2 linked regions of the Mus musculus genome follow. The protein of the gene in region 2 interacts with the protein of the main gene of each other region in a pairwise test. Links are inferred from orthologs where the notes say so. Each region holds a gene or a part of one and is shown on either strand. Other genes may lie near its edges. The genes, in order: Gsto2 and Tfap2a.

Region 1 (4,478 bases), on a different chromosome or scaffold from region 2:
TACAAGTCTATTTGGAGAAGTTAGGACAAAGGTAGAACATATTCTCCACCTATGGGAGGCAGTACAATGTCAGGAGTCTCAAAATGGGCCATGGAACCAGATGGGTTGTGAGACCTGCCTTGGTCCTTGGGCACAATGCTTAGCCTCTCTGCCCTCCATCTTCCTTGTTTAAGATGACAACCACCAGTGTGTATATGATGGTTTTGACTATGGAGTGAAATTGTGCGGAGTTCTATCTCAGTGACCCTCAAAATTAAAGAGAAATACTAATGAGTAAGAAGGCATTTTTATAGCATGATGCCTTCCCATTCTGCACCCATGAAGAGACACACATTGCAATTCAGCTTGCCGGGCATATGAGAATTAGAATCTAACTCACCACACTATTTCCCCCGTTAACAGTTTAATGCTGGCTGAGTGTGCTGAATGCTTCAGGCTACATTTCAGTAATGTGATTTTTTTTAATCTCTCGAAAGATCACAACAGTTTTCCCAGAAGGATTTTAATCATGACCTTTAAGCTTGTTCTCTGCTTCCTCTTAAAATTTCAGTAGGTAACTCCTAAGTGGTTTTTTTTTTTTTGCAAATGTTCCATCTATGCTATCCCGTGTTTGCATCTCTGTTATATTGACCAACTCAAGCACAAAACAATTTTAATAAGGTCATGGAAATCTATTAGAAATAATTTTTCAGACATCTGAAATATAATCATATCCACTGTTTCTCTGTGTGTGAAGGTACACACACACACACAGACACACACACACAGACACTCAAGGTGTGAGCTTGGATGGCAGAGGCCAGAGGTCTTTTGAGATGGGGGTCTCACCTTCTTACCTGGAACTTGCTGATTCGGTTGAGCTGGCCCCAAAGCCCCAGAAACCCACCTCAGCTTCCTCCATGGCACTGGGATTACAAACCCGGGCCACCACACCAGGTCTTGTTTGTGCGTCTGGGGTTGGAAGTCAGGTTCTTGTGTTTGTTCAACAAGCACTTTACCCACTAAGTCATCTCCCCAGTCCCTGAGCTGCTTTTCTAAAAATAGAGGAATCTCTGGTCATGGTGATTAATGATGTATGTATTTACAGAATGGAAATAATTTCTTCACTCGATTTCAGTTTGTTTTAAGGAAAGGGGGGCCTTTCTTTCTTCCTTTGTCTTTTTTTTTTTTTTTTAATGTAATTCTGGCTGTCCTGGAACTTACTCTGTAGACCAGGCTGGCCTCAAACTTAGAGACCCACCTGCCTCTGCCTCTGCCTCCCAAGTGCTGGAATTAAATGTGTGCACTTTTATGCCAGCTTGAGTTGTTTGTTTGTTTGTTTGTTTGTTTGTTTGTTCGGCTTAAAAAAACCTTTTGGTCACAAGTCTAATATTAGCAGATGCTAGATTATGATTGTATTTGTCTCTTTGAATGCCCACTTGACATGAAAGATCACATTACTGGGTGTCCACTATTGTTCACTGAACTCCTTGGGCCAGATGAGGGAAAGGGTTCTACTCTCACAGCTGCCTTTATTCAGGGCTTGCAAGGAGCAAGGACCATAGGGAAGCTCATGTCCCAATGGCGTTAACGTTGGGACATATGAAATGAGGTGACTGAAGTGACCACAGGAGGACCTTCCCATCCAGGTCAGGAAAACTGGGTCAGAGGAGACCTTCTTTTAAAGTGCTTGTTTTCTTATCCCTGTGTCTTTAATGACATGTGTGACACATTTATACACCCTGATAATAATATTTGAATAGTCAAAAAGCAAAATTTCAAGAGTCTGACATCAAAGTTTGTAAACGCGTGCAAAAGCAGCAACATCGCCTGCCGAAACCAAACCATGATAGGGATAGGACAGGGACGTGCCCAGAATTATTGCCAGGACCTTTTTTGGATATCAAGTTCCACGGATGCTCAACAACTTTATATAAAATGGCGAAGCATTTGCAACTCACCTACCCACACACTCCTAGACACATCAAACCACCTCTAGATGACTTAGAATAGCCAACACAAGGTAAACGTTGTTACACTGCATTGCTTAGGGGATACTGACATGAGAAGTCTGAATATACTCAGTTCGGATGTAATTTTTCTTTTCTAGTCTAATTAAATTGGAATGATGTGGAATCCATTGATAACAGATGATATTATTCTGTCTTGGCTTAATCTCTAAATGTAAGAGCTCTTAGGAAAAGGAACTTTATAGATATATAAACTTATCTAAAGAGCAGTCTTTTTTACAACAAACATAGGCTACATTTGAATCGCTCCACCTTTTAGTAGCTGGGTTACTTTGGGCTAATAATCAAAAGCTCCAACAACCCTGATTTTCTAACACACTGGCGTTCTAATCTGTAATGCGGAGGTAAGAGTACCATGTGGTTTAGGGAAGTGTTATTAGGATCAGTATGGCAAGCATCTAATACTTAGCATGTGTCTGTCATCTAGCAAGGACTTAACATTAGCTGTTATTGTGATTACTATTATTTGAACGTAGCAGGGACGATTTTCGTAGCCTTCAAAAGACAGGCAGTCTCAGAAACGAAATTCTCCTGCCTGTCTGTGTCATCAACTAGTTAAGCCGAACTGAGGTACGAAACTCCAGATCTGTGGAACTCTGCGTGCCTGTCTTCGTCCAAACTGGAAAATTAATTTCAATGACAGGTTTCTGGCTTAAAGAAAACTCAATAATCTAAAACTATTGACTATTCTTTCTTCCTTACGATTTCTTTACCCTATTGCTATATTCTAGGCTCCCTTACACATTTTTAGTGAAATTTTTTATAAAAAGAAAAAGAAAGAAACATTAGCTATGGTTAAACATTTGGGTTTTCTTTTAAAATGTAACTGCAAAATTAAAAGTTGGCGATCCTATTCTGAAAAGCCCAGATTTTACAAGTCCCCCAAAGTTCAGAATTGACCTCAAAATCCTTTTCCCTTCCGACACAGCGCAGGTGAGGCCGAACCCCCCAGTGGCGGTGGCAGAAAAAGCATCTCAGAGCAACCTTCGGGCGGCTATGGCTCCAACCCGGAGTTGGGACGCCCGGCGGCCGACGCGGAGGCGGGCCCGCCCCTTCTCACGGTGCTACCCCGCAATTGGCCGCCGAGCCCTGCGCTCCAGCCAATACCTGGCTCGTCTGGAAGAGCGAGCCAATAGGCGACCGCGTTATAGCAGCTTGCTCGAGAAACGAGGGTCAGGCCGGAAATCTATGGCTACCTAAAGAGGAAGTCGGTAGCAGGCGGTTCCTCTCAGCCGCTGGTCTCACATCCTACTGGGAATCCGCGAGGAACCGCCAGGGCCTGCCCGGGGGCTGGGGGCCGGCGGCACAGATGGCTCCGCTCGGAGTAGGACGCTAGTTGTCCCGTTTGTGAAGTCAGCCAATCCCTGCCTCCCCAGGGTGCGGGCCCCCCATCACCGTGAAGCTAAACCCTAAATGCGGCGCTGAGCTTTGCCAGTTTTGGCGCCCTTAACGAATCACCCCCGTGGTTGTCGCAGGCAAGCCAGAAAACAACTACAGAAAACCTGGCGGTCGGTGGGTTGCCATTCTTAAGGGCATTCATTGTCCTCCAGATCCTTCTGCCAACATCTTAAGACCTCACTTAACATCTGGACCAGACTCACCATCCCTAGAATGGAGTGAGGTTCCCAGACTACCTGTCTTATGGAAGTGATAGAAGTATTAAGATTAACCTTTCCCATTGGGAGATTTCATCCATTACTTATTCAGTCTTATATACTGAACTGGCTAGTGTGATTTTAACGGTATTGCATGTGGCACACCTATAGAAGACAGAACTATATCTGCCTTGTTTGGAAGGAAGGATTTGAAAGGGCTAGAAGTAGGAGCTAGTGAGATCGTTTGGTGGTTGTTTGCTGCTCTTCCAGAAGGGAGATTCGTTTCCTATCACCCCACAGCCTCTGCCGGTATCACCAGCTCCAAGGGATCCCGTGCACGCACACACACACACACACACACACACATTTTTTAAGAAATTAGGAACTGAGAGCTCAAGCAAGAGGCTACCCCAGTCATGTTGACCTGAGGTGGTTTGGACTCAGTTTTCGATGCTCACAAGAGGAATAAGAGATTTAATGATGGAAAGTATGGGGAAATCACAGTTTTCAGACATGAGTAATCAAAAACTTGACATTTTTCTTGATATCCAAATCTAGATGTCTGTATCAAACCAGAGGTGATGGCCTTGGGGATGGCAGTGAAGACTGTTAGGACCATTAGATCAGATTGTTCTGAAATAGAAATACAGGAGTGGGGCCCTGGGGGGCACCGCTTAGGCCAGAAGGTCAAATTATGAGAAAGGAGCCAGTGAGAATACTGGACAAAATAAGCATGATATTCAATCAGTGAGGGGAAACAGCATTTGCTGAGGGCTCTTGCCCTTCAGAGCCCATAATCACAGGCCTCGGGGCTGTCCTGTAGGTAGAGATTTAAGTACTCGCGGTAGGTCTTGGCATCAATTTTGTGAGAGGA
Region 2 (3,813 bases):
CAACCCCCAGACCCAGACCAGTGCCTCACGCTCTACCCTCAGCTTCCACCACCATTTTCCTGGCATATAATTTGGGGATTATGATATGGACAGCAGGATCTCTATACACTACCATTATTTTAACATAATGTTGCTGGGTTTGAATTTCTGGCCCTAAACAATAGATTTTTTTTAAGTTACATTATCACCACCTTCAACACCATTTAACACCCAGAAATCCTAGAATGCCTTCTCAAAAACATTGTTTCCAATGTTCTCGAGAAACTTTCAGATTCTTAGATTCCATGGCAATATCTCCCTCGATGCACTATGCAAATAAATTATGCCTCATTAAAACATAAGTGGCTAGCTTTAAATCTGCCTGGTAATAAATCTCCATCTTCTTATTTTTCTATTAATGTGAGATATAACAAGACACAAAGGAGAGCTATTCCCTGATTCCCAACCTTAAATGAACTGAGTATCAGAAGAAGTTGGGAATCTAGGAAGCAGGATGGTGAGTGAGCAGATTCTGGTGACAGCTTTTGGGTAGCTGGCCAGGGTGGCTTTTTGTCTTAAGGACTTTGAAGGGTGGGTGTGTGTGTACTAAAGGGGAGGCGGGGGGGGGGGGGAGCCGGAGTAAAAAACTCTTTTACAATTTGTCTGTTTCTTCTTCTCTTTCTGTATCAAACAATCCAGATTCTAGAATTGCTCACTTTCTGCCCCTCCTGGAGAGAAGACACACAATGGAAACAAGAGGTAGGAAGTATATGGCTGGAAACCAACAACCCACAAGGGCTTTTAACCCTGAGCTTTTGGGACAGTCTTAAAGCAGGATGCAGGTCAGAGATTCCCAAATTCATTCAGGAAGTAATGGTCACGCATTTCTCAAATGCAGATGTCAGAATAACTTAAGTGATTTACTGCTGAGTTCTTTCCAGGAGACAGGAACTTGGGGAATGTGTAGTTCTTAAATTTGTTCACTGTTTAGGTCAGGTTTGAGCTGAGGGTAGGGTGACTCTGCCAGACAGAGGAAGAAGAACATATAGGCACGAGTCTATACAAATAGGCTTTGGATCTTTTGTTTTATTTTGTTTTGTTTCTTGTTTTTTTCCTTGGCATCCCAAATTCTTTTCAATTCCCAGTTACATTCCATGGAAAAGTGAAGCCACCCAAAGGACACAAAACACACTCAAACATCTGGCTACTAAATATTATCCACCCCACCCCACCCCCAAGTTGACAGTTCCCTTCCAGATAGCAAGCAGATCTGTTTACCTTCCACTAGTGACGTGAGGAGGGTAACGTTGGCAGCTTTACGTCTCCCTGCTGGCAGATTCAATCCTATCTTGTCCAGTTTTTCTCTTAAAGATCTCCCTCCATTCTTAGACTTCGCTCTGTTTCAGAAACATGGGAGGCAGGGGTGTTAAAAAGATTGATTTTTCTCTTGTCACATCAGAGTCATTCTGAACACTTTCTAAAATGTGTTCTTAAAAACTGAGGGTCATGGTTCCAAGGCAGGAAAAGAGAGAGCAAGAAGGAACTATATAGAAAGATCATGGAAGATGAAAGGCATAGTTGTCATTGCAACTATTGTGGCAGGTTGGGAACTTTCCATTTTCACACACACACACACACACACACACACACACAGTTCTGATTGCAAGAGTTGGAGGTATTCCTGAGTTCCACTGATAACTGTGTTGCTTTCCCTGTTGCTATAATCCCAGCAAAGCCCAGTGGGGTCTTTAAATTGTCTTCACAAGATCTGCTGTTAGGTTGTTCCCAGTGACCAAAGTTATCATCGCGCTCTCATTTCATGTCCTGGCTTTGATCCCAATGGGAAATGCACCTTGCCAAGTGTTTACATGCCATGTCAGGAGCATAACTGGAAATGTCAAGAGGCTGATGGCTGATATCAGCCTTCAAAATTTTTCCCTGATTTCAGAAACAATGGAGTCACTTCTAAATAGATGTCTAAATAGACTCCCATAATCAGAAAGTGGTTAAGATAAATTGTTTAAATAAAACAGCAAATTAATTAATTTCAGATTTTATTCCCTACTCAAGTGGGTCTTTAATTGTGTGGATTAGATTATACTCCCATAGGTGAGCAGTCTCCGATATTGGGGATGGGGGGAGGGGAGGAAAAAGCAGAGGGCAGAGAAAGATCTGTGACAGTAAAAGATAACTAAGGAAAGCCGCTGGTATTAACTCTGCAAAAACCCTCTTAGAGTATGTAGGTGGGCCATACCCACCAAGGCCCAACTGAGAGTTATTAATATACAGGAATAAAGTTAGACAACGAATTACAGGTCTTTTGTAGAGAGGAGAGTAAGAGACATACTCTTTGGCCAAATTTAATACTAGGCCTACAACTCACACCATTGGATAGATCCCTAAGAACACACCTGGCTCTGAAACTTTTCTCTCTTTAGACTCTACCTCCCTGGCCCTTGTGAAAAACAGGACTCACTCACTTCAGAGAGGTGAGACTCCTGTGTTAATGGATGCGACTACATATAATGAACAGAAACCTGTCACACATCACAGCAAATCAGAACGTCAAAAGAACACCCCCCCCCCCCCCCCCCCCGTACAGAGACTGGAGTGGAGGTAGAGGTTCCTTATGGCAGGAAGTGCCAGCAACCAGGGATGGGAGGCACGCAGCAAGCAGAAGTCACTCTCTTTCTTTACTTGAAAACCTGTCTGTTAAATCTCCACTCAAGACCCTACAGTGTAGTAAGGCAAAGCAAGGAGCCCGGAAGCTTTTCTGAGCTTGTAACCTGTGCGCAACCAGGGAAAAGGCAGCAGCACGGCGCCCCACGGCTGCCAAGGCTGGGACTGAGCCCCAGACGTAGAAAACTGCGCCTGCGTGCTGCAGAAAGCGGAGTTCCCGAGTGCGCAGGCGCGTTGCCTCACACCCCACCCCCGCCTTCAGCCACGCCCACAAAGCGCCACTCTTTTCTCTCCGCCCCTTTCACGTCGCGCGTGCAGTACAGCTACCGGCCCAGCGCAGGCGCACTGGGGCCGGGTTCCCGGGGTGGAGCGGGGCGGGGCGGGGCCGGGTGGGGCGGGGCGGGGCCGGTCCGAGCCTCACCTCCGCAGTACTCCGCCCAGGAGCGACGCGTTAAGACACTCGGGCGGTGAGAGGCGCCGCTGTACTTCCGCCACCGTGACCTTGTACTTCGAGGTGGAGCTGAGGAGCGACAGGCGACCCGGAACTGAACAGAAGACTTCGTTGGGGTTTACCACGCCACCGAAGAGGTTGTCCTTGTTAATAGGGATGGCGGAGACAGCATTGCTGTTGGACTTGGACAGGGACACGGGGCCTGCGAAGACAGATGCGGGCGCGTGTGGGGGGCGGACCGACCGAGCGCTGCTCAGCTCAGGAATCCCGAGGCGGCATCCTGCCCTGACCCTTGCAGCAAGCTGTCTAGAGATGGCTGATGCTGTCGCGACCCCCTAGGCTCTCAAAGGGCTCCGAAGTGATGCAGGAGCTTGGGTTTAGGGAGGCAACGAATGGGTTTTATGTGTAAACCCGAGACAGGGTTGGTGTAGTGGGGGTTTTGCTGGCGAAAGGCTCAGTGCCAAAAGAAATTGCTGTTAAAACCAGCAGACAGTTTCGATTGCTGCAGCAGCCAGTAAATGAACATTTCAGTAAGCTAGCAAGTGGTGGATTCTGTTATCACACACTACACGTCCGTCCTTTCATCAATAGACCCTTATGTTCCATTTAAAAGACACTCGGGCTTTGGAGATCATTCCAAGCCCGTGAACAGGACTCAAGAATAGGCCTACAGTTGAACATTAGGAATGCATCCTTTTGTTGAG

Evidence for each region.
Region 1: the proteins of Tfap2a (region 2) and Gsto2 interact in binary tests that used the Homo sapiens proteins (3 or more experiments, as listed by UniProt). The two-hybrid records come from large-scale screens. The link is inferred for Mus musculus from reciprocal best matches to the Homo sapiens genes TFAP2A and GSTO2.

Annotation. Positions count from the first base shown.
Region 1 is NC_000085.6:47,864,361-47,868,838, reverse strand, and holds the start of Gsto2 (glutathione S-transferase omega-2), read right to left. Parts: upstream 3,046-4,478; 5' UTR 2,910-3,045; intron 1-2,909. Other genes in the region: Gsto1 (glutathione S-transferase omega-1), read right to left, coding at 4,389-4,478. UniProt on the Homo sapiens protein: Exhibits glutathione-dependent thiol transferase activity. Has high dehydroascorbate reductase activity and may contribute to the recycling of ascorbic acid. Participates in the biotransformation of inorganic arsenic and reduces monomethylarsonic acid (MMA).
Region 2 is NC_000079.6:40,720,012-40,723,824, forward strand, and holds part of Tfap2a (transcription factor AP-2-alpha), read right to left. Parts: intron 3,312-3,813; coding exon 3,080-3,311; intron 1,377-3,079; coding exon 1,258-1,376; intron 1-1,257.